5 linked regions of the Oryctolagus cuniculus genome follow. The protein of the gene in region 3 interacts with the protein of the main gene of each other region in a biochemical or structural test. Links are inferred from orthologs where the notes say so. Each region holds a gene or a part of one and is shown on either strand. Other genes may lie near its edges.

The links.
Region 1: the proteins of KPNA1 (region 3) and PKM form a complex in vitro, tested with the Homo sapiens proteins (2 studies listed by BioGRID). The link is inferred for Oryctolagus cuniculus from reciprocal best matches to the Homo sapiens genes KPNA1 and PKM.
Region 2: the proteins of KPNA1 (region 3) and STAT1 form a complex in vitro, tested with the Homo sapiens proteins (2 studies listed by BioGRID). The link is inferred for Oryctolagus cuniculus from reciprocal best matches to the Homo sapiens genes KPNA1 and STAT1.
Region 4: the proteins of KPNA1 (region 3) and KPNB1 form a complex in vitro, tested with the Homo sapiens proteins (6 studies listed by BioGRID and IntAct, with this or other methods). The link is inferred for Oryctolagus cuniculus from reciprocal best matches to the Homo sapiens genes KPNA1 and KPNB1.
Region 5: the proteins of KPNA1 (region 3) and NOSIP form a complex in vitro, tested with the Homo sapiens proteins (2 studies listed by BioGRID). The link is inferred for Oryctolagus cuniculus from reciprocal best matches to the Homo sapiens genes KPNA1 and NOSIP.

The regions. Positions count from the first base shown.
Region 1 is NC_091443.1:110,885,094-110,889,889, reverse strand, and holds the start of PKM (pyruvate kinase PKM), read right to left. Parts: upstream 2,944-4,796; coding exon 2,790-2,943; intron 2,473-2,789; coding exon 2,381-2,472; intron 1-2,380. UniProt on the Homo sapiens protein: Catalyzes the final rate-limiting step of glycolysis by mediating the transfer of a phosphoryl group from phosphoenolpyruvate (PEP) to ADP, generating ATP.
Region 2 is NC_091434.1:49,328,994-49,333,253, reverse strand, and holds part of STAT1 (signal transducer and activator of transcription 1-alpha/beta), read right to left. Parts: intron 3,463-4,260; coding exon 3,413-3,462; intron 2,755-3,412; coding exon 2,660-2,754; intron 1,789-2,659; coding exon 1,643-1,788; intron 533-1,642; coding exon 347-532; intron 1-346. UniProt on the Homo sapiens protein: Signal transducer and transcription activator that mediates cellular responses to interferons (IFNs), cytokine KITLG/SCF and other cytokines and other growth factors.
Region 3 is NC_091435.1:78,653,131-78,657,390, reverse strand, and holds part of KPNA1 (importin subunit alpha-5), read left to right. Parts: intron 1-781; coding exon 782-870; intron 871-1,260; coding exon 1,261-1,360; intron 1,361-2,539; coding exon 2,540-2,703; intron 2,704-4,066; coding exon 4,067-4,145; intron 4,146-4,260. UniProt on the Homo sapiens protein: Functions in nuclear protein import as an adapter protein for nuclear receptor KPNB1. Binds specifically and directly to substrates containing either a simple or bipartite NLS motif.
Region 4 is NC_091448.1:24,006,151-24,010,410, reverse strand, and holds part of KPNB1 (importin subunit beta-1), read right to left. Parts: intron 4,094-4,260; coding exon 3,902-4,093; intron 2,449-3,901; coding exon 2,318-2,448; intron 1-2,317.
Region 5 is NC_091449.1:7,909,407-7,913,151, reverse strand, and holds the end of NOSIP (nitric oxide synthase-interacting protein), read right to left. Parts: intron 3,676-3,745; coding exon 3,570-3,675; intron 2,917-3,569; coding exon 2,835-2,916; intron 1,892-2,834; coding exon 1,732-1,891; intron 1,649-1,731; coding exon 1,530-1,648; intron 1,443-1,529; coding exon 1,255-1,442; intron 1,158-1,254; coding exon 1,049-1,157; intron 827-1,048; coding exon 755-826; 3' UTR 716-754; downstream 1-715. UniProt on the Homo sapiens protein: E3 ubiquitin-protein ligase that is essential for proper development of the forebrain, the eye, and the face. Catalyzes monoubiquitination of serine/threonine-protein phosphatase 2A (PP2A) catalytic subunit PPP2CA/PPP2CB.

The sequences.
Region 1 (4,796 bases), on a different chromosome or scaffold from region 3:
GGCCCAAGCATTTGGGCCATCCTCCACTGCACTCCCTGGCCACAGCAGAGAGCTGGCCTGGAAGAGGGGCAACCGGGACAGGATCCGGCGCCCCAACCGGGACTAGAACCCGGTGTGCCGCCACCGCAAGGTGGAGGATTAGCCCAGTGAGCCGCAGCGCCGGCCCCCATCCTCGTATTCTTGACCAGGCCTTCCTGAGATTTCTGATTTACTGTTTCCCACAAAGAATCAGATCTCAGCTTAATTTTTCAATCTTCTATTTCATCAAGCCATGGTCTTACAAATTCTTTTTCTTTAACTTTTTTTTAAAGATTTATTTATTGCCGGTGCCACGGCTTCTGGTTCTAGAACGAGTTTTGAAGCTCTCCTGATTATCACACTCTATACTGATCTTGATTTCCATGAAAAAAAGTCAGGGCTGAGTGTGGCACAGCAGTCAAGAATCCACTGAAGACACGCCTGAGTCCCAGGTGCACTTCCGATCCAGCCTCCTGACAACACAGTGCATGGACAGAGCAGGTGATGGTTCAAGTGCCTGGGTCCCTGCCTGCCTTGTACAGAGACCCAGAGTGAGTTCCGGACTCCCAGCTCTGGCCTGGTTCAGCTCCAGCTGCTATGGACATTTGGGAAGATCAGAGATGTCGCTCTGCCTCTACCTTTCAAACAATTCTAAAAAATTATGTCAGGTCATGTGTCTGTAAAATTTCTACTTTTATGGAACTTGAAGTTTTTTGGTGAGTGACAGAAAATACTTTTTGCAACTCAAAGTATATAAACATGCCATTTTTGGTCTTGGGGATGTAAAATCTTATGTCATAAACATTCTAAATGGTTGACAGGGTGCTGGCTGGGGTGGGGCTGGGCTGCTTATTATCTGCGGAGTGGTGCCCACCCCACCATTACTGCTGCCCTGTGGAAGGCTCTAAATTTAGATTATGTCAGAGTCAGTTCTGGCCAGCCTGGCGTTGTGGAACTGCATGTTCAGCAAGAACAGATGGTCCACATGAGCTGCCAGGGCGGGGGCTAGGGACACGGTCAGAGCTGCCAGAGACAAGGTGTTGGACTGAGCACTGGAGACAGCACCTGGGATGTGTGCATCCCATACCGGAGGGCCTGGGGTTGAGTCCTGGTTCTCGTCACGCCTTGGATGGCAGCAGGTGACGGGGCTCAAGTGTGCGGGCCCCTGCCACCCATGCGGGAGACCTGAACCGAGTCCTGCCTCCTGGCTGCTGCAGGCATTTGGAGAATAAATCAGTGGGAAAATCTGTTTGTTTTTCAAATAGAATTAAATAAATTAAAAAAACAAAAGCCCAGACACAGAAGCAGACGTGCCTCTGCCAGGTGAGGAGGGGGAAGGCGGTCACGTCAGTCCACACCTCAGCACCTCAGGCCCGCTTCCCAGATGCTGACCCTGGAAGCTCACCTGGGCCTGACCCTAAACCACCAGAGGCACTGCGCTTCTTTCCTTTTTCATCCCACTTTTAATCTGGGAATAAGAATCAGAAGCACAGACCCACGCCCTCGTGCGACAGGTGCAGCCCTTGCCATTTCCGAGTGGGGCGGTGTTGTTTTACTGGTGGAGGGAGCGCGCAGCGGCTGAAAGATCAGCGCCTCCAAATCTATTTCTGCTCCTCACCCGCAGGCAGGGCCCACAGCAGACTCCGGCAGCAGGGGTCAAAGGTGAACTGATCCTCACTGCTGCCTTGGCCCTCTGGGCAGGGTGACACACGCAGCAATTCCTGGTGAGAGCCCAGGATGCGCCTCAGGCTGCCCGAGGTGCCTGCTGGCCCTGGCTGGGCCCCAGAGTTAGGGGCTGCAGCATTTACCATGGAGAGTCAAGTCTCATGTTTCCAGAAAGCAAGAATTCACCCCGCGGTTTGCACTGCCCGAGGGCTTATTTTTAGTCCAAACTTAACACCAGCTTCCAAATGCCAGAGAGTGACCCTCACCACTGACCTCAGAGGAGGAAAGGACAGAGGGCAAGAGAGGGCAACGTCAGCCTGCCCATTACTCCTCTACCAATGCCGAAATGAAGCCCCACGACTGCGGCCCCTCAGGGAACCCCAGCACCCTCAGAGCGCCGCTTCCTGCCACGGCCAACAGCTCCAGCGCGAACACTCGCCGGCTGGTTTTCTGTCCGTGCAGCAGAACCTCTGGAGAGGGCGAGGCTGGGGGCACAGTGCTGACGGGCGGGGCACTCGCCTGCCAGAGTGGAAACCTCTGGGCGCCTGCCCAGCTCTCTGCAGCCTGAACTGGGCCAGAACCAAGCTGCAGAGAGCTCAGGGCAGGAGCCTAGGGCTGGGACACCCAGACTGGAATCTGTGGAGCCCACCCTAAGTGAACAAGGCACTCCTCCCTGTCGCCTACAGCCGAGGCTCACCTCGTGAGTCCCGTGGGAGAAGTTCATGCGCGCCACGTTCATCCCAGACTTGATCATCTCCTTCAGCGTCTCCACCGATCGGGAGGCAGGGCCTGTTACATATTGCGGCACAGCGTCAGTGACTCAAAGAAACGCTTCCTCGGTTTCCTCCCCCAAATAACGCAAGTCTTTCAGAGAGCACACTCACGGCCGTCGATGTGCTAGCCTGCTTTCTTGATTTAGGGGAACACCTCTCCCCACGCCCTGCACAGGTCTGTAGCCCCCTACAGTCAGGAAAGCCCAGGTTAAGAGCTTGGCCAGCCCTCTGCCCATCTTGGTGGCATAGGCCTAGGCCTCTGAGCTGGGGACGCTCACCCCCAGCAGAACGCACAATGCGCGCTCCTTCCCGGACTCGGTCCCCGAGGCTCACCGATGGTACAGATGATGCCCGTGTTGCGGGCCGTGATGGGCGCGGAGTCGATGTCCAACCGGCACATGTGCTCCAGGAATGTGTCCGCCATGGCTGCGTGCAGCTGCTGCGTCTGGATGAAGGCAGACCCGGCTTCACTGTGGGACTTCGACATGGCTTCTGAGGTTGTGGGTCCCGGGAGACTGGAGGCAGAGACAGGACTGATCAGAGGCTGACACACCGCCTGGAGCAGGAGGCCGTCTCCTGCTGACACATTACCTTAAAGAGCACGCTGGTCACATGAGCACTCCTCAAAATGGGCAAAGGGCTCATGTGAACCTAAGCAACCAGGAAAGACCTCAGCAAACAAAGTCTCCTCTCCAGTGCGGGGACTTCCCAGGGACCCACCGCCAGCAGGGCTCTGCCACACCACGCTTGCCGGCATTCTCACCAGCCCACCCACGAGAGGATGCTGTCACCGACCTTCCTCCACTACACAAGTAGCTGACTCCTGGCCTGCTACAGAGGAATTCTAGATCTTTGCAGGAGAAGCTGTGTCTCTGGCACAGGGCATCCACAGGCTTCTAAACACTCCTGCCCCACAGCCAAAGTGATGCCCTGGCTGCGGAGACTGACACCGTCTGCCTAGCCGTCCTCCTAGGTTGTGACTAACCCAGAGCACCACCTGTGTCTGTTGCTCTACTCACACTGGGCCTGAGAACAGCCCTGAGCCCACTGTTGGCCAGCAACAACAAAACCAGGCCCTGAACAGGAAGCAGAAGTCCAGTGGGAAAACTAGACACACAATCTCCCTCCCAGGAGTCTGTACCCAGAAAAACCACATCTACTTTTGGTCAGAGGAATTTAGGACATGCAAAGCAATTCATATACAAGTAAGGATAACCACGATGGCACAGATGTGGTTCTAAAGTTATATTAACAGGATGGGTGCAACACAGCAAATGATGTTTTCCCCGAATGATGCTGGATGCGCCATCTCAACTCCGTTTGCAAGTCTGACCTCATGAGATAAAGACCATCGTTCCAGGCAATTAACCAGCCCAGGCCACAACCCTTCGCTGCACTTCACTACTGACTTCCAGCTAAACTCACTCAGCCACTTGGCTGGTTCAGGGACAAAGACTCGGGAGAAGCTCCTGGGCAGTAACAGCTATCATGTAACGATGTGAACTCAGACCCAGGCTGCTCCTTCTACACCCTGGAGCTTAAAGGCGTCAACCTGGGCTCAGAAACAGGTCCCTCTTCAGCCTGCCCTTCTGCTAAACCTCAGGCCCCCAAATCAAGGCATCCCGTGTACAAGGGCACGTAAAAAAGTTCACAGAAAATGGCATTACAGTTTGCTTTAGGACAAGAGCCCTCTGAAGCCCGGGGTGGGCCTGTGCTCCAGCAGCGGGGCTGCTGCCTGCACCCCACACCGCGGCACCAGGTTTGAGACCAGCCACTCTGCGCCTGCGCCTTCTTCCTGCAAATGAGCACCCCAGATGGCTGCAGATGATGGCTGAGGGGCTTGGGTCCCTGCCACCATACAGGAAAGGGAGCACGCAGGTGGAAGCTCGCTCTCTCTGCCTTTCAAATAAAAATCAGATTTTGAAAGTCATGCAGTTTTTCCTAACAGGCATTTCCTGTGAACTTTTCAAAGGCCCTTGGTAAAGGATCCTCATCGGTGTCTTCCACCCTCTCTGGCCCTGTGGGCTCTCTGGGTGGCTCCCTGGATAGAGCATGCAGCTAGGGCCGCCTGTGCCAGCTCCAAGGCCTGGTGAAGGCGCAGAGCCGTGGGACTGGGCGTCAGGGCTATGGTCTCAACTACAGAGCCTGCAGCTGCAAAAACGGGGATGGAGAGCACCAGCTGACCACGCCAGGCGGCAGAGGCCCCGTTCCCTTCAGTGTGCGCTACCTAACTCAGCAACGCACCACAAGGCACCGTCCGAGCATGTCAGTCCTCTCCTCCTAGGTCTTGCAATCAGTGTTAAGTAAGCTTTCAGTCTAACAGCTGCACCTCTGCTTCCC
Region 2 (4,260 bases), on a different chromosome or scaffold from region 3:
TCCACGTGGAAAAAGTGATGTGTAACAGATACACAAACCACAAATGGACATTTCCAACACCCCTAAAATAGGAGATTAACCATTCGTTTCTCACTGACTGTATCAGACCAAATAATGACTGTACTTCAGCTGCACTGAGCTCACACCACCCTGTGCATGCATGCATGCAGCCTGTAGCAGTTCAAAGGGAGTGGGGGGTTCATGTCACAGGCTGGGTGGAGCCTGTGCTGGCTCCTTCCCCTTGAAGACAAAGGCAGTGTGGCTGCTGACGCTGCCGGCGAGCCAGCCCTTCAGCACCAGGGGACCGGGGGACCGCGTGTGCTGCTCTCCTCGCAACCCCACTCACCTTCCTTTGGCCTGGAGTAATACTTCCCGAAGGCATGGTCCTTGTCAATATTTGGATACAGATACTTCAGGGGGTTCTCAGGAATATTCTCGGCAGCCATGACTTTGTAATTGCGGATGATATCAGGGAAAGTCACAGCAGAAAGTTCTTTCTTCGTGTAGGGCTCAACCGCATGGAAATAAGGTTCTAGAAAGGAGAAGAACCAAGTGAGTCCTGGGAAACATGCCAAACAAGAGAGCATAAAACACGGCACAGTTTGTGGATTTGACTGCACCCGGTACGAGCTAATCACACTCTAGGAGTTACAACACTGATGGAGGACAGTTTTATTCCTACATAAATTCTAATTCTTTCAAATAGGAAAAATAAAGGCAATCACTACTTTAAAACACAGCACGTCTCACTATCTGCTTAGATTTATGAATCTGGACAAAGCGGTCCACTGAGCAGCTTGTACAGCCTGCACCAAGGGTTTTCTACCTCTGAGTGCTTTGCTGGCTCCGTCTCTCAGCTGGTTCAGAAAATGAACTATCAGGGAAAAGAGAAGGCAGGAGCCTGCACCTGCCTAGACCATGATCTGATCCCAGCCCCGGCTTTTTCATCATGGGGAAAAAATATAAGCAGAACAAGAAAAGGATCCTGTCCTTTCACTTCTACCCACGCAAAGCACAGGAGTCGCTGGCACAGCCGGCTTGTCTAGTCTTCAAACACAGCGGACTCAAATCAACAAAACAGGGGCCGCTCTGCTGCTAACATTTTTCATCTGTGCTGTTCAGCCTTCTCCTCACAAATCCGCTTTATAATGCCAAGGTTTTCTGGAGTCGTTTAGCCAAGGACTCCTTCATCCAATTTAGGAGAAAGACAAATTTACAGCTGCAGCTCCTCCCGAGAGCCCCTGAGCACACACGCCCGCTCGGGGCGTGTAAATCGCCCGCGGGCTCTTCTCCCAAGGCCCGTCCTCCACCGTGCGTTCCACTCTGGGGTTACGCTAGGCGAGGTGGAAGCCGACATCATGCCCGTGGGGAACGCAACTCCTTCCAAGTCCTGGCTGCAGATGATGTTGAGTCACATCCTTGATCCACAGATAATAAACTGGACCAAAAGGAAAGGATTTGGCCTTGTCTGAAAAAAACCTATCACTTCCCCGATCTGTTCCAGGCGCGAGCCCCCACTGTCCACAGTGGTTTTGTAAACCATATGCAGGGGCTCAGCCGGGGGAGCGGGGGCTCTGCAATCCCACCGCGCGCCTGAGCTGTGAAGGAGGTCACAGAGTGAGCCCCACTGCCCTGCACTCACCGCCTCCGTTCTGGGACCGCTCCACCCACGTGAACGTGATGGCGCCTTCCCGGCTGCTCTCGCTGAACCGCAGCAGGAACGTGCCGGGCTGCTGGTCCTTCAGCAGGGCGCGCTCTCGCTCCTTGCTGATGAAGCCCATGATGCACCTGGACAAGCAGAGGTGGAGGGAGGGGCTCCGGTTCAATCACAGCTTTAACGTTCGTGTTCACTTTACAAACCAAGAAAGTGATGGGGACTTGACCAGAGACCAGAGGCCAGAAATGGCTGGATGGACAGTTTTTGCACGTCTTTCACATTTAAGGGCGCGTTTCACGTATGCTTGCACATGCTTAAGTAAAAAAGGAAACGCACCCATGAGCATGGCGTAAGTGGGATGAACAGGTGCTCAATGAACACATGCTGGACTCACGAGCCTTTTATTGCCACTTGGTGATCCTAAAAGCCACGAAAAGCTCTCAATTTATGCAACTTTTATTCTGGACAGGAAGACTTGAGTAAATTTGCATATTCTGGCCCTTTTGATCAATTTAAAGCTTTTGCTGAAATATGGCTGATCTTTAGAATAAGTTAGATAGAAACAATTTGCTAAGTTAAAAAGGGATTTTCCTTCTTCAGGGACAACATAGTAGGCCCTCAAGAAACTTTTGTTGCATGTACTTCAAAATGTGGACAAAGGAGGCATTTAAAGTATGCATTTCTGTTGGTGCAAAAATAATTTCAAAATCTATGCATAGCTTTTTCATACTTTATATTTTCCACATAGTATAAAAAACATTTCCTTTGCACTGAAGTTTTTCTGTATCAAAATCAAGTCAAACTTTTAATTCCACTTTCCCATGAACTTTTTCGAGTCCTTCCCATTAAACAAACACAAAGAAAAGTATCAGTTTAACCTCGTGAGGGTCCACCCATGAAGCCTGGAAGGGACAGGTCTCGTCAAGTAACGGAGACCAGCTTGGGGAAGGTTAGGTCGTGCAATGAACAGGTGTCAAGGGCACACCCATCGGGGGCTCTTACCCATCATTCCATAGACACAGCAGGTGCTTTTTAATCAGTTCTAGGATGTTTTCAATCCACAGCCAGAAGGAGAAATTTTTGTCACTTATATTTTCCTGAAAGTATACAAAGGTACACATTAGGAACAAAGAAATCCAAGATAGTAACTTGTCATGCCCCTCCCACTGCCCCTCCACCCCCGACCCGGGCCAGCTGCCAAAGACCCAAGTGTCCCCATCAAACCCAAAGAACCCACGCTGACGGATGGCTGCAGGGGCCCTCTCCCTTATCAGCCTTCGGACCTGGAGCTCTTCTCTCTTCCATTTCCCTGGGCTGGGATCCACTTCCCTCCACACCCAGTAGCAAAACAGTCAGGAATAATCTCCGGGCGTGGGGTGGGGGGACAGAAGCAGCAGCTGCCCCACACCAGGAAGGGCCAGGACAGCTGGCAGGCCACAGTCTGGGTGACCCCCGCAGAGTCTGAACCCTGTCTGCTCCTGCAAGGCCAGGGAAACTCACACAGCCCCAAGCACACAGTTCACATCAAGGGGCCCAAAACGCTGCCAGGCAAGGGGCTGAAGTGAGCTAACAGAAGGCTCATTTCGGGTGTGAAAAAATGTTATCACCCGGCAGGTGCTTCCTGTGAGGCTCTGGCTTGGAGACCAGCCTCCTGCACAGCGTGCCCTGGGGCTTGGAGGGCCTGGTGAGAATGCCAAGAAAAGCAAACAGTGAAGTAACCGCCCCCACAGAGCGCAACACTCGCCCGCTACCCACCTTGCAGAACCTCGTCCACGGAATAAGACCATCGAGGCCGGCATTAGGACCTGAGCAAACGAAAGCAAGCTTCGTCAGCACAAAGCAATCGAGTGTGCAGCTGCCCGGGACGGAGGGCTCTCGGACTTGGTCTCCAAGAAGAGAGCTACCACCCACCGAAGGGACGGTGCACGTCGATGGTTGACATTCTCAGACACGTTAGTGCTCAATCAGCTGGCCAGTGATCCCACGTGCCCAAGGGCATAAAGAAAATCCCCTAAAACATCTACTCGGCTTGGTTTCAATTTTTAATTAATTACTTTGAAAGGCAGAGAGGAGGGGGAAGGAGAGAAGGGAATGGGGAGGGAGAGGGTAGGGGAGAGGGAAAAGAGAGCAAGATGGTGAGCGCACTGAAGCGAGCTCCCCCTCGCCCCCACCCGCACCCATCCACTGGTTCGTTCTCCAAATGCCTACAACAGGCAAAGCTGGGCAGGCCAATCAGAGCTGGAACTCAATCTGGGCTCCCACACGAATGGCAGAAATGCAGCTACCTGCGCCATCACCACTGCCTCGAGCCCGCTAGCCGGCAGCTAGAATTGGGAGCACAGACAGAATTGAGGCCCGGTGCTCCGACACATACGCGCAAGTCCCAAACCGCAAGGGACGTTCGACCCTCGTTTGATTTTAACAGCGTGAAGAACGGACAGCAGATCACTGGGCACCACAATATGAAAGTTTTTAGGGAAGGCAGAAACATCCCAACACCTCACTGTGTGCCCTCATCCCCCCATCGCCTGTGAGGAGAGGACAACCCTTCAATCCGTCTTCACTTCACATGGCCTCCCAAGACCATCAGTGGCCTTTGCCTT
Region 3 (4,260 bases):
CAGTTTCTCCTAGGCATATAAAATCATTTTTCCAATCCATCCCTGAATTCCTTAATCCTATAGATAATGCTTTTTTAGACCACGTAAGCAGTTATTAATAGAACTTTTTCTTGCAGGAATCTCTAGTGTTAGTGTTGATTGAAGTGGAAGATTTTTGCCATTGTGTACAGGAAGTCATAGAAAACGTGAATTATTTCTGGTTATTGCCAACTTTATGAAGTTAATGGGGATAAATTACAGCTAAATGGGCATTTTTTTTTACAGCTTTATTAAGGTATCCTTGACATAGAGTGAATTGCATATATTTATAGTGCACAGTTTGATAATACAAATGGAACCATCATTATGATAAAAATAATTACATCTGTTACCCATAAAAGTTTAATAAAGTTATCTGGATTTGATTGCTCTTCCGTGTTTACATGCTTAATGAGCTGAGTAAGCCATTTGAATTTCTGACTTCTAACAGTCGAGGGTTATATGGAATGGCTGCTTAGGCAAGGGGATTCATCCCTAAGATGAAGATTGTAAAAAATGGTTCTTTACCCCTCTGTTTATTGTGAAATTTAGAATATTATTGATCATCTTATCTCAGTTCCACAACTGTTTCATTTGGTTCCTTGATGAATGAATTGGGGAATATTAATAATCCATGTATAAAATGTTGGTTAACGACTCTATAACTTTAACAGATGTTATTGTGATATGCTGGAATATTTTTTGAAAGACTTATGAAGGAATTAAACTATGTAACTGTCCTTAATTAATAATTCTTTCACAGGCAGTCTGGGCTCTAGGCAACATTGCTGGAGATAGTACTATGTGCAGGGATTATGTCTTGGACTGCAATATCCTTCCTCCTCTTTTGCAGTAAGTTCTTTCTTTTTGCTTTTCTTTCTTTTGAAAAATAAAGATATGGAATTCCTCAGAAAGTAGTATCTCTTTGGAAATCATTTTGGGCTTCCTGTTAATTTTCTTTCCAGATGTTTTCTCGTTAACTTGTTCAGATCATTTGTTCAAACACCTGTTTTATTCCAGTGCCAAAATTCTGAATTAGTTACATTATAATTAAATAAGTTATTCCACAGGAAAACTATTTGAGGATATCTGTTTATCAGTAACATTAAATAGTGTTTATATTTTATGCCATCAGAGAATTAATGTCTATTACATAATTTAGTATCATATATATTATATATGTATATATATATATCTATATCTATCTGTATCTACATATATATATATATATCTTGCTTTTAGGTTATTTTCAAAGCAAAACCGCCTGACCATGACCCGGAATGCAGTATGGGCATTGTCTAATCTCTGTAGAGGGAAGAGTCCACCACCAGAATTTGCAAAGGTGAGGATTTGCGTGGGAAATTAGGCAGAAAAAATGCAATTGAATAATATGGCAACCAATATTAGTGTTCGAAAGTGCAGCCAGGACTTAAACCGGTGCCCATATGAGATGCTAGCACTGCAGACAGTGGCTGTACCCACTACGCCACAGCACCAGCCTCATCCAGTATTAATGTTTATCGAAAGATTATTTTGGTAAAATTTAAAATAATAAAAAGGTTTTTCAGTTTCTAGAAAAGGCGGACTCTTTGTATTTATTTGTTTTTATTTGGAATTATTTTTTCTCTGTTTTAAAAATCCCTGAATTCATCTTAAAACCCCCTAGCATTTTTTTCTTTGTAACAAACTTGGTATCTAAAATACCAAGTTTCCTAGTTCCTTTACCTCTTCAGCTTACAAATAGTGCATTTTGAGGAAGAACCTCATTGTAAGAATTTGCTTCTGAAATTACTTTTCTTGAGCTTTGACTGCCTCATCATAATAAGCTGCAAAATTTGTTAGATAAGAAGGTGGAGACTTCCAGACCCGGACAGGCTGGGCCTGTACTACGCCCCTCATAAGCAAGAAGCAGCTATAGAAGATATGATTCTGTGCCCTTCAACATCCCTTAGGATTAAGAGAATGGAGTTTCTGAGAGGGTAATGATGTAGGCAGGTATATAGGATAAAATCGATCAGGTTTGTTAACTGGAAGACCACGCCTTCACCATGCCCCTGTGTGACCTCATGCCCCTACCTGGCCACACATGTGTGACCACCAGCCAATCAGACTTGCCTTTGGACGTGGATTAAAGGCTTGGGACACGGTGGGCCCAGCCTTTTTTTCAGGGGGTGGGGGGACTTTTTGCCATTGTGGGCCCTGGCTGCTCTACATTTCCTGGCCTGCATGCTCCTCCACATGGCTGGTTCCTGGTACATAGTATGAATCCAAATTTCCCTCTCTTAGATGGGGCCTGCACTCTCCTATGCATTTCTCCCACTGAATAAAAAGCTTAAAAACTTTAAAAAAGCTGCAAACCACTGGCAGCATTCCTAAGGATGGAAATGCCACTTAGTCACTTGCTGCTCCATTTCCAGAAGTGTAAATCACCTAGTGTATGACTTACTGCCTTCTGGAGTGTTTCATCTCCTTTGTCTTTTATCCTGTTAAATTTCATAATCATTCTATCTTCCTTTCACAGGTTTCCCCCTGTCTGAATGTGCTTTCCTGGTTACTGTTTGTCAGTGACACTGATGTACTGGCTGATGCCTGCTGGGCCCTTTCATATCTATCAGATGGACCCAATGATAAAATTCAAGCAGTCATTGATGCAGGAGTGTGTAGGAGACTTGTGGAGCTACTGATGTAAGATATCATTCAGAAAATGCCTGCTTGCCCCTTCTCCCATGCTACTAGTTTTCTATTTGCTAATAATTAAATATTAGTTGTATATTATACTGATAAATAGTGCTTTTAGGCTAGTGTTCTTTTGTTACTTGTTTATGTCCATATCAGATTGTTTTGGTATTTTGGTTTTAAAGAATCTCTCAGGTTTCTGCTCTAGCAGTCCTTCAGTGGAAACATTTGGAACACTGATCTGTATAGTTTCAGCTCATACTGGATAACTTCAGACCAACCACTCGGTATCAAAAGGCATATTGCCACTAAAAATTGTCATTCCTATTCTGTCTTCTTTAGCATTTAGATTAGTGTCAGACATTTAATCTTATTTTATTCTCTTTGGGGTGCCTTTGATGATGTAATGGAAGATTTGCTAGTAATGTAAATGATTTGAGACTGTTTCAGATTTTCAGGTAGTCCAATAGAAGAAAAAATAAAATAATTTAATGAAGGAAATCTACAATTATAAGGAGCATAAAATTTAATTGAAGTGCAAAGCAGATGCCAGGGGACATTGTCTCACATGTGGCATGTGGATTGGGTTACATAAATTTAATGCACAAAATACAAGACTTTGGGTTTATAGTTGACCATAGGCTGGGTGCAGATTAGTAACATTGTGCTGTTGTGGATTAGAAGCAACATGATGGTTCAGGACTCAGTAGTATAGCATTTAAAATCTGGAAAGTTATTGTATTCTTTAGTCATTAGGTTCATACATGCTTTAAACCATTTATTTTTTAGTTATCAGATATTAAGTAAGAAGGAACTGCTACACTTTTGAGAAGGTAATCAATCTCGTTAGAGGAGAGAGCAAATAGGACCTTGAAGGAAAGTTAAAGGGCATTATTTAGCTTGACATTAGGACTTAATTTCTTTCTTCAAATGTATAACAAAAGCTTCATATGGATGGTTTTTTGACCAGTGAAGACATAGTAGCTTTAGTAGAAAAAGTTCAGTATTGAAGTATGAATTCTACCTTGATTTTTCAAGGTAGTTTAAGTGTCTAGTCTGTGAAGACTAGACAATTTATATAACTTAAAATTGTGCGAATAATCACTGTTGCTCTCCATTATCACAAAAAACCAGGTAATAAGGACATGAGACCTGTGTTAAAGAAAGTGAGGGTAAATTTGAAATCCACTTGATCTGGGAAAGATTATTAGGAAAGATTTGCAAGTTTTTCTCCAAAAATAAATTCCATCATCTTGATAGTACCTTTCTGCCCTTAAATCCTATCACACATTATTTCTTTTGTATTTTGGTCCTAAGGAAAAGAGACCATGGTTAGAACTGTTGGCTGTAATGTTTCTTTTTATGATTACAGGCATAATGATTATAAAGTGGTTTCTCCTGCTTTGCGGGCTGTGGGAAACATTGTCACAGGAGATGATATTCAGACACAGGTATGAATAAGTGGCAGTTTGTTTTTTGTCAAAACAATATGTTGAGCTCTGTTATTTCTTTATAATATTTAATTCTATTTAATTAGGCCAATATTTGTTTAAAATGTTATCTTGG
Region 4 (4,260 bases), on a different chromosome or scaffold from region 3:
CCGAAAAGGTCTCTGCAAGCGATGTCTACGTTGGTTATGGTCTCCAGACCTGTTAAAATGCCCAAGTCGCAGGGCCGGCACTGAGGCCTTAGTGGGTTAAGCCGCTATCTGCAGTGTCAGAATCCCATGGGTGCTGGTTCAAGTCCCAGATGCTTTTACTTCCAATCCAGATTCCTGTGCACCTGGGAAAGCAGTGGAGGATGGCCCAAGTCCTTGAGCCCCTGAGCCCACATGGGAGACCTGGAGAAAGGTCCTGGTTCCTGGCTTTGGATCAGGCCAGGTTCGGCCGTTGCAGCCATTTGGGGAGTGAACTAGTAAATTGAAGGTTCTCTCTGCCTCTCAAATAAAAAAAGGGCCGACAACGCGGCTACTTGGCTAATCCTCCCCCTGTGGCACCGGTACCCCAGGTTCTAGTCATGGTTGCTCCTCTTCCAGGCCAGCTCTCTGCTGTGGCCCGGGAAGGCAGTGGAGGATGGCCCAAGTGCTTGGGCCCTGCACCCGCATGGGAGACCAGGAGGAGGCACCTGGTTTCTAGTTTCAGATCGGCGCAGCGCGCCGGCTGCAGCAGCCATTTGGAGGGTGAACCAACGGAAAAAGGAAGACCTTTCTGTGTCTCTCTCACTGTCTAAAAAAAACCTCTGCCTGTCAAAAAAAAAAAAAAAAAAAAAAAAAGCTAAAGTGCCTGGAAAAGCACTCCTACTCTCCCTTCTCATGTGGGAAAACCGGATGAAGCTCCTTGCTCCTGGCTTTGGCCTGGCCCAGTCCAGGCTGCTGAGTTCATTTAAGCAGTGAACCAGCTGACAGAAGATCTCTCTCTCCCGACGTCTCTCCCTCTCTAATTTTGACTTTCAAACACATAAATTAATGTTTTAAGTGCCCATGTTGCACCCTGGAGTCCTTGGGTTCCATCCCCAGTTCTAGCTCCTGGATCCAGCTGCCTGCTCATGCACATGCGGGAAGGCAGCGGTGTTCACACACGCAGTGAAGCTCCTGCCACCCATGTGGGGCATCTGGGTTGCACTTCCAGGTTCCAGCTTCAGCCCTGTCCACTGTGGGCATTTGGGGTGAACTAGCAGATTGGGAGCTCTCTGTATCTCTCAAAAGGTCTGAAATAGGGCTTTCTGAAATGTGTAATGGAATCCTAATTTAGGGACAACCTCTAATCTTTGTGTTTTGTGTGAACTGAAAAGTAAACCATCAGGAAGGGACCAGACATAAATTCTTCCGTGTTTAACTAGTCCTTCCCCATTGCTCTGTGCAAGATTGTATAAAATGACATCTCTTGGTGAATGAAGAAAAGTGGGGTATACTCTCGTAGAGAGCCAGACACTATCTTGATTTGTCCAGGAGCCAAGGACTCAATCTAGGCCTCCCATTTAAACGGCAGTAAGAACCCAATTACTTCCGCATCTCAGGAACCACCTTAGCAGAAAGCTGGAAATCAGGAGCCACAGCGAGCCAGGCATCAAACTCAAACCCAGGCGCTCCAATACGGAATACAGCATCCTAACTGCTAGGTCAAGTCCCCACCCCAACTCTTACCTAAACTCGGAGTAGAGAACCCTTTTTTTCTGTTAAGGGCCACTGGGTATTTGTAATATCATTAGAAGACAATTAAAAATTATCAACTTAAAAATTAGCCTGCTTAAAAAATTAGTTTGCTAATAAATAACTAGATTTATTGAATTTCAAGTCCCATCTGTGGTTGCCCTGGCAGGTACAGACCAAATGATTTCATGGAACTTATATGTCCATGGGCTAGCCATTCCCCACCCCTGTAAACAAGTAATTTCTTTCTTCTCTTTTTTTCTTTTTTTCTTTTTTTTTTTTTTTTGACAGGCAGAGTGGACAGTGAGAGAGAGAGACAGAGAGGAAGGTCTTCCTTTGCCGTTGGTTCACCCTCCAATGGCCGCCACGGCCGGCGTGCTGCAGCTGGCGCATCACGCTGATCCGATGGCAGGAGCCAGGTACTTATCCTGGTCTCCCATGGGGTGCAGGGCCTAAGTACTTGGGCCATCCTCCACTGCACTCCCTGGCCACAGCAGAGAGCTGGCCTGGAAGAGGGGCAACCGGGACAGAATCCGGCGCCCCGATGGGGACTAGAACCCAGTGTGCCGGCACTGCAAGGTGGAGGATTAGCCTAGTGAGCCGCGGCGCCGGCCTAACAAGTAATTTCTTAAGTGTACTTTCAACCTCTCTAGAGCAGATACAGTGCGCTCCTGTCTCATGTTGCTGTGATTAGGCTGCGCATTCTCCACACAGTGTAACAGAGTTGGGCACCCAGACATCACACCTTTCTGTACAGGAGATCAGTTACCTGTCTGTGGTCTCCAGGAGCTTCTGAACTATGAGTTCAAATGAAGAAGATAAGCAATAGGTGGCTGGTTCCTCCTGATCATCAGCTACATCTGCAGCCTCATAAGCAGCTTCAGCCAGGCTGGAGAAAGCCTGAAACGCAGAGATTTAGTATCAGTCTTGAAACAAACCCCACTCCAGGGGACAGGGTTGCGGCATGGTGCACACAGCCACTGCCTGCAGTGCAGTCATGCCATGTGGGCACCAACTGGAGCCCTGGCTGCTCCACTTCTGATCCAGCTTCTTAATGTCCTCGGAAATGCCAAGTGTTTAGGCCCCTGCCACCCACAGCACAGACCCAGATGAAACTCTTGGCTTCAGTCTGGTCAAGCCCCAGCCATTGCAGTCATCTGGGGAGTGAACCAGCAGAGGGAAGTACTCTGTCTCTCCCCCACTAACTAAGCCATCTTGGGTAGTGTTTCTTTCCAATTGACCTCAGAATGAATAAAAGCTAGTGAATCTTCAATGTTTCTGTTAAGGTCATCTCAAAGGGCCAGCAGTGTGGCACAGTGGGTTAATACCCTGGCCTGAAGCGCCGGCATCCCATACAGGCGCCGGTTCAAGACCCAGCTGCTCCACTTCCAATCCAGCACTCTGCTATGGCCTGGGAAAGCAGAAGATGGCCCAAGTCCTTGGGCCGCTGCACCCATGTGGGAGACCAGGAAGAAGCTCCTGGCTTCGGATTGGTGCAGCTCTGGTCATTGAGGCCAACTGAGGAGTGAACCATCAGATGGAAGACACTCTCTCTCTCTCTGCCTCTCCTCTGACTTTCAAATAAAATTTTTTTTTTTTAAAAAAAGATCATCTCAAGACAACTTAACATTTGACAGGTATCTTTAAAATAAAATATTCAAGGGCCAGCATTGTGGCAGGGTGAGTTAAACAGCTGCCTGGGATGCTGGCATCCCAAGTGAGTGCTGTTTCAAGTCCCGACTCCTCCACTTCTGATCCAGCTCCCTGCTAATGCGCCTGGGAAAGCAGCCGCTGGCGGCCCAGGCGCCACCCCTTGGGGAGATTCCGAGGGAACAGAAACCTTCACCTACCCCAGGGGCTGCCATCTCACCTCTCATGTACAGGAAGGCTCCTGCCCCACTCCTCCCTCATTAGCACTTCTCTCCCATTCCCTCAAAAGCCCCAATCAATTACATGCAGCCCACACTGACTCAGCGTTTAGGCCGCCTACCTTCCTTCCCTTTCTCTCTTCTCAGCAATGATGCTTCTTGTAGCCAACAAATCTCACCCTTAATCAAAATTTCTTCTCCCCAAGCAATTCAAGAAAGAAAAGCAACTCCACAGAGTTTCTCTGCTGCGTTACTACGACTGCTCTAAGTCGTTCGGGAGCCAGTTGCCATGAGTCAACAGCTCCCACTGGCTCCTGTGGGTGGCATCTCCCCCGCACTTTAACTGAGGAAATCAAAAAGGAGATGCTATTCCAAAAAAGTCTTCCAGTGAGGTAGGTCCATTTCTCCCCCTCACCCCTCACCTCCCACTTTCTTGCCATGGTTCAGGCAAACTCCTTTTCTCTCACCAGGAAAAAACCCCTTACCCAGCACACATTTGATGCCACTCTGGGTTCAGCACTGAGGCCCTCAATCAGACACTGTAGCAGGGGAGCCAAGTAGACATCATTGATGGCAGCTTCAGGAAGCAGTTCACAAATTCTGCCCACAGTCCACGCAGTTGTATCTCGAACAACTACACTTGGGTCTTTCATTAATTCTATGAGGGTGGGCATAGCCTACAAATACAACAGTTATTAGCAAAACAAAACAAAGATTAAGACTCATGTTGACTCTGTCTCTCAATAAATATAAAGTTGGGGCTAGTTTTGTGGCACAACTTAAGCTGCTGTCACCACCACCTAATACCAGCTTCCCATATACAGGCACTGGTTTCAGTCTTGGC
Region 5 (3,745 bases), on a different chromosome or scaffold from region 3:
CGACCCCACACCTCCCGACTCTCGCGCGCGCCATCGGCTGCCGCTGGGGCAGTGCGCTGTGCGGAGCGCGCCCGCCGCAGCCGGCGCTGCGTTTCACTCTCGCTTCCTCTCCTTGTCACGCCGCGGCCTCCGACCACAGCAGACCTATTTTCCGAGCAGACCCTGCCCCACCTCGCGGCCAGCAAGGCCACTGTTTCCAATAAAGGCGTGGGAGTTACGTGGGGGGGGGGGGCAGCCAGGCCATGCCGGGAGGACCGTTCGTGTCCAGGTGGGGCAGAGAGGGGGCGGCCTGTGCCACGCGTGAACGCGGCTGCGGCTCTCGGGGCTGGGCAAGGACTCGCGTGGGTGAGGGGTCTCGGGAAAGCCTGTGGCCGGGAATGCTCAGGAACACGGGGGGGGGGGGGGGGGGACGTGGGCACTGGGTACAAAGCGGTGGGCGGGGGCTTGCTGGGGCCCGCGAGGGGCGTGTGGGGAGCGGGGGAGACGGACACGCGGGAGGGGTGCCCGGCCAGAGCTGCGTATCTCCCGGGGCATCTCGGGTGCCCGGGCTCGGCCAGCCTCGGGGTCCTGGCGGAGGTCAGGGTGGGTTTCTGCCTGGCCGCTCCCCCCGGGGGTCAACGCCGTGCGTCCGCCTTGGGGTCAGACTCCGCGGGAGCACCCGGGCATCCCGGCCCCTCCTCGGGCCCCGCCCGCGAAGAAAGGCGCCACGCGCGACTGCGCTCCCAGCCGTTTATTCGTGGGTCTCCCCTCGCACTCAGGCCTGCATCACCGGCCGCGACTTCTCCGCCTGCAGCTTCACCCCGGAGCCCGCGAAGCCGGTGCCGCCCTGGGAAGGGAGACAGCGGGGTGAGGGCGCGGCGGGGCGGGGCGGGGAGGGTCCTACGCAGGTCGAGATGACTGGGGGGGATCGCTGCGGACAGGTCTCCGTCAGAAGGGGCGGCCGGGGCAGGGGCGGGGCCTGTGGAGAGGCGGCGGGAGGGCGGAGCCTGGGGCAGGGGCGGGGCCCGGGCGGGAGGGCGGAGTCTTGAGAGGGGGCGGGGCAGCCCACCCGCTGCAGCACGATGATGTCACGCTCGGTGAGCCGGTCTCCGTTCACGGGGTCCACCATGTCCTTCCGAATCAGCTTCTCCACGCACTCCAGCGTGACCACGGCCCCCCTGCGGGACGGGGCGGGGCGGGGTCGCAGGTCAGGGCCCCGCCGGCCCCCCGCCACGCCCCTCGCCCGGCCCGGGCTCCCCGGCTCCCCGGGCTCACGAGGGCCGCAGCACGGCGCACGGCGTCGCGTTGCTCAGGCTGTCGCGGGTCACGGCGCACACGTAGCGCTCGCTGCGCGTGATGAGCCCCACGCGGTCCACCGAGTCGTCCAGCAGCGTGAAGCGCACGGGTGTCAGGTCGGACATGCGCAGCGGCTTCCCGGACATGGGGCAGGTCACGGTGCGGGACTGCGGGCGGGGAGGTCGGGTCAGGGCGCGGCGGATGAGGTGCGGGGACGCGCGGGCGCGGGGACACCGAGGGGCGGCCCCTCTCACCGGCTTCTCCAGCTTCGTGGCCTTGGCCTCGGGGGTCAGGGACGGGACCCAGAAGCTGGGCAGCGCCTTCTCCTTGTCCTGGCCCGGGGGCCCCTCGCTGGGCCCCGCTTGTGCATTCTCTGTGGGAAAGCGGGGGCTCGGGTGCCGGCTCGGGGAAGCGCGGGCTCGGGCTCCTCCCGCCCGCCAGCCCACTCCCTGCCACCTGCGCCGGGCCCCGCGGCGGCCTTGGACGTGAAGGGGTTGAGGGGCCGGCTCACGATGGCCGCCTCCTTCTCCAGGAAGCCCCGCACTTGGTCCTGCGCTGCAGCGCGCCGCAGCTGCCGCTGCTCCTCCCGCTGGGCGCCCCGCTGCTTCTCGTAGGCCTGCGGGCGGGGCGAGGGCGCGAGAGGCTGAGGCCCAGGACGCCCCGGCGCGGGCTGGGGGCTGCAGACTCCCCAGTTCCCCAGGGCGGGGCCGCTCAGGGAAGGCAGCTGAGGCACTGCGGGGGGATGGGGAATCTGTGCCTCCTCCCCTACTGCAGGACGCCAGGCACTCCTCGCTGGGCTAGTCCGGGACTGCGCGTCGTGCCCTAGAGCCAGAGTGCCAGGGCGGAAGCCCCGACTCCGTCACCTCTGCGCCGGCCGCGGCCGCGGGGGAACTCTCCCAGCCTCGGCTTCTCCCTCTGCGAAATGGGCTCACAGTGGCGGAGGCGCCCTGCCTGTTGAGTGCTGAGTGCTGAGTGCATGTCTGTGCGGGTGCCGGGAAAACTTTGTGCACAGAATTCAAGCTAAGAGTGCTTTGGTGAACCCCCCGGGCCGTCTCCCTAACTCCCACTTCTTTCAAAGACTTCTTAGAGGAGTGGGTCTCAAAATGCAGATGGTTCGTCCTTGGAGGCCGGGCCTGGCTCTGAGTAAACACCTCGGGAATTCTTGCTGTGTGCATCTCCCACGTGCCCTGCAGTGCCTTCTAATGTGGCCCCGGGAGCCCATTTCACAGATGCTAAAACTGAGGCCCAGAGAAATGAAGACAGGGCCACTCATCCAGCAAGTCTTTGCCAGGGGCCTAGGACTGCAAGGTGGGCAACACTCGGCCCCGCCCCTGGGGTGGAGCCCGTCAGACAGCCCCAAGCAGGTACTGCTGTGACACAGCCCGAGGGAGGGAGGAGGGATGGTGACTAGGGCAGGCCCTGGGGGCCCTGGACGCAGCAGCTGAAATCAACCAGGGGAAGTGGGAGGGGAACAGCCCGGCAAAGGCCCCGGCGGAAGAGGAACCGAGACGGGAGGGCGCGGGGCGCGGGACGCTCAGCATCGGAGCCGCCCCCCTCACCTTCATCTGTCGGGCGATCTCCTTCTTCTGGTGCAGGATGTACTCCAGGATGGCCTCACGCTCATACAGGTAGCCGTCGGGGCTGCCAAGGGAAGGCGGGATGAGGAGAGCCCGGCCCTGGCCCAGGCGCACAGGCAGGGGCTCGGGGTCAGCTCCCTGCCCGGGCACCGCCGACCAGCACGGGAGGGCAGCCAAGGGCTCCCTCGCAGGCCTGGGCTGCGGAACCCTGGGCACGGCCCTCGAAGGCCCTGGAATGTCCTGTCCCTTGGGTGACCGGAGAGGAAGGCCGGCCATGCGGCGGTCAGCCGGTCCCCTGGGACCTGGGCGCCGAGGCCGGGGTGCGCGTCTCTGGGGCTGCAGAAGCCAGCAGCCACGCGACTGCGCTGGGAGGAGCCGCGGAGGCTCCGGCCCGGGTCTCCTCACTCAGCCCCGTGCGCTCCTTTCCCGCTGTTGATTTTTATCTGGGTCCACCTTAAGCAGCGGTCAGTGGCTGGGGACGCGAGGAGCCATCTGCTCTCATCACGCTCCTGTGGGACATACTGCTACCCCAGTATCTCATTGAGCTCCGTGCCGGCACGCCAGCGGCAGGCAGTGCCGTGTGCTCGCTGGGGGCCAGGCGTGCTCCAGCGCCCTCCGCCCCCCTGCAGACACCCCCCCCCCCCCGGCGAGGGCCAAGGAGCAGGGCCCCTGGGCGCTGTCCCCTTGCAGCCCCCGCCCGCCCCGTCCGCAGCTCACGTGACGACAGGATCATGGCAGGGCTGCAGAGACAGGCAGCAGCAGTCAAAATCCTTCACCGCGTCCCGGCTCAGTCGAATGTTCTGGGTCCCGTAGCCTGAGGCCGCTGGGGACAGACATGGGCGCGGGGACGGCGGGGTGAGGCGCGGGGATGGCGAGGGGTCGGCCAGGGGCTG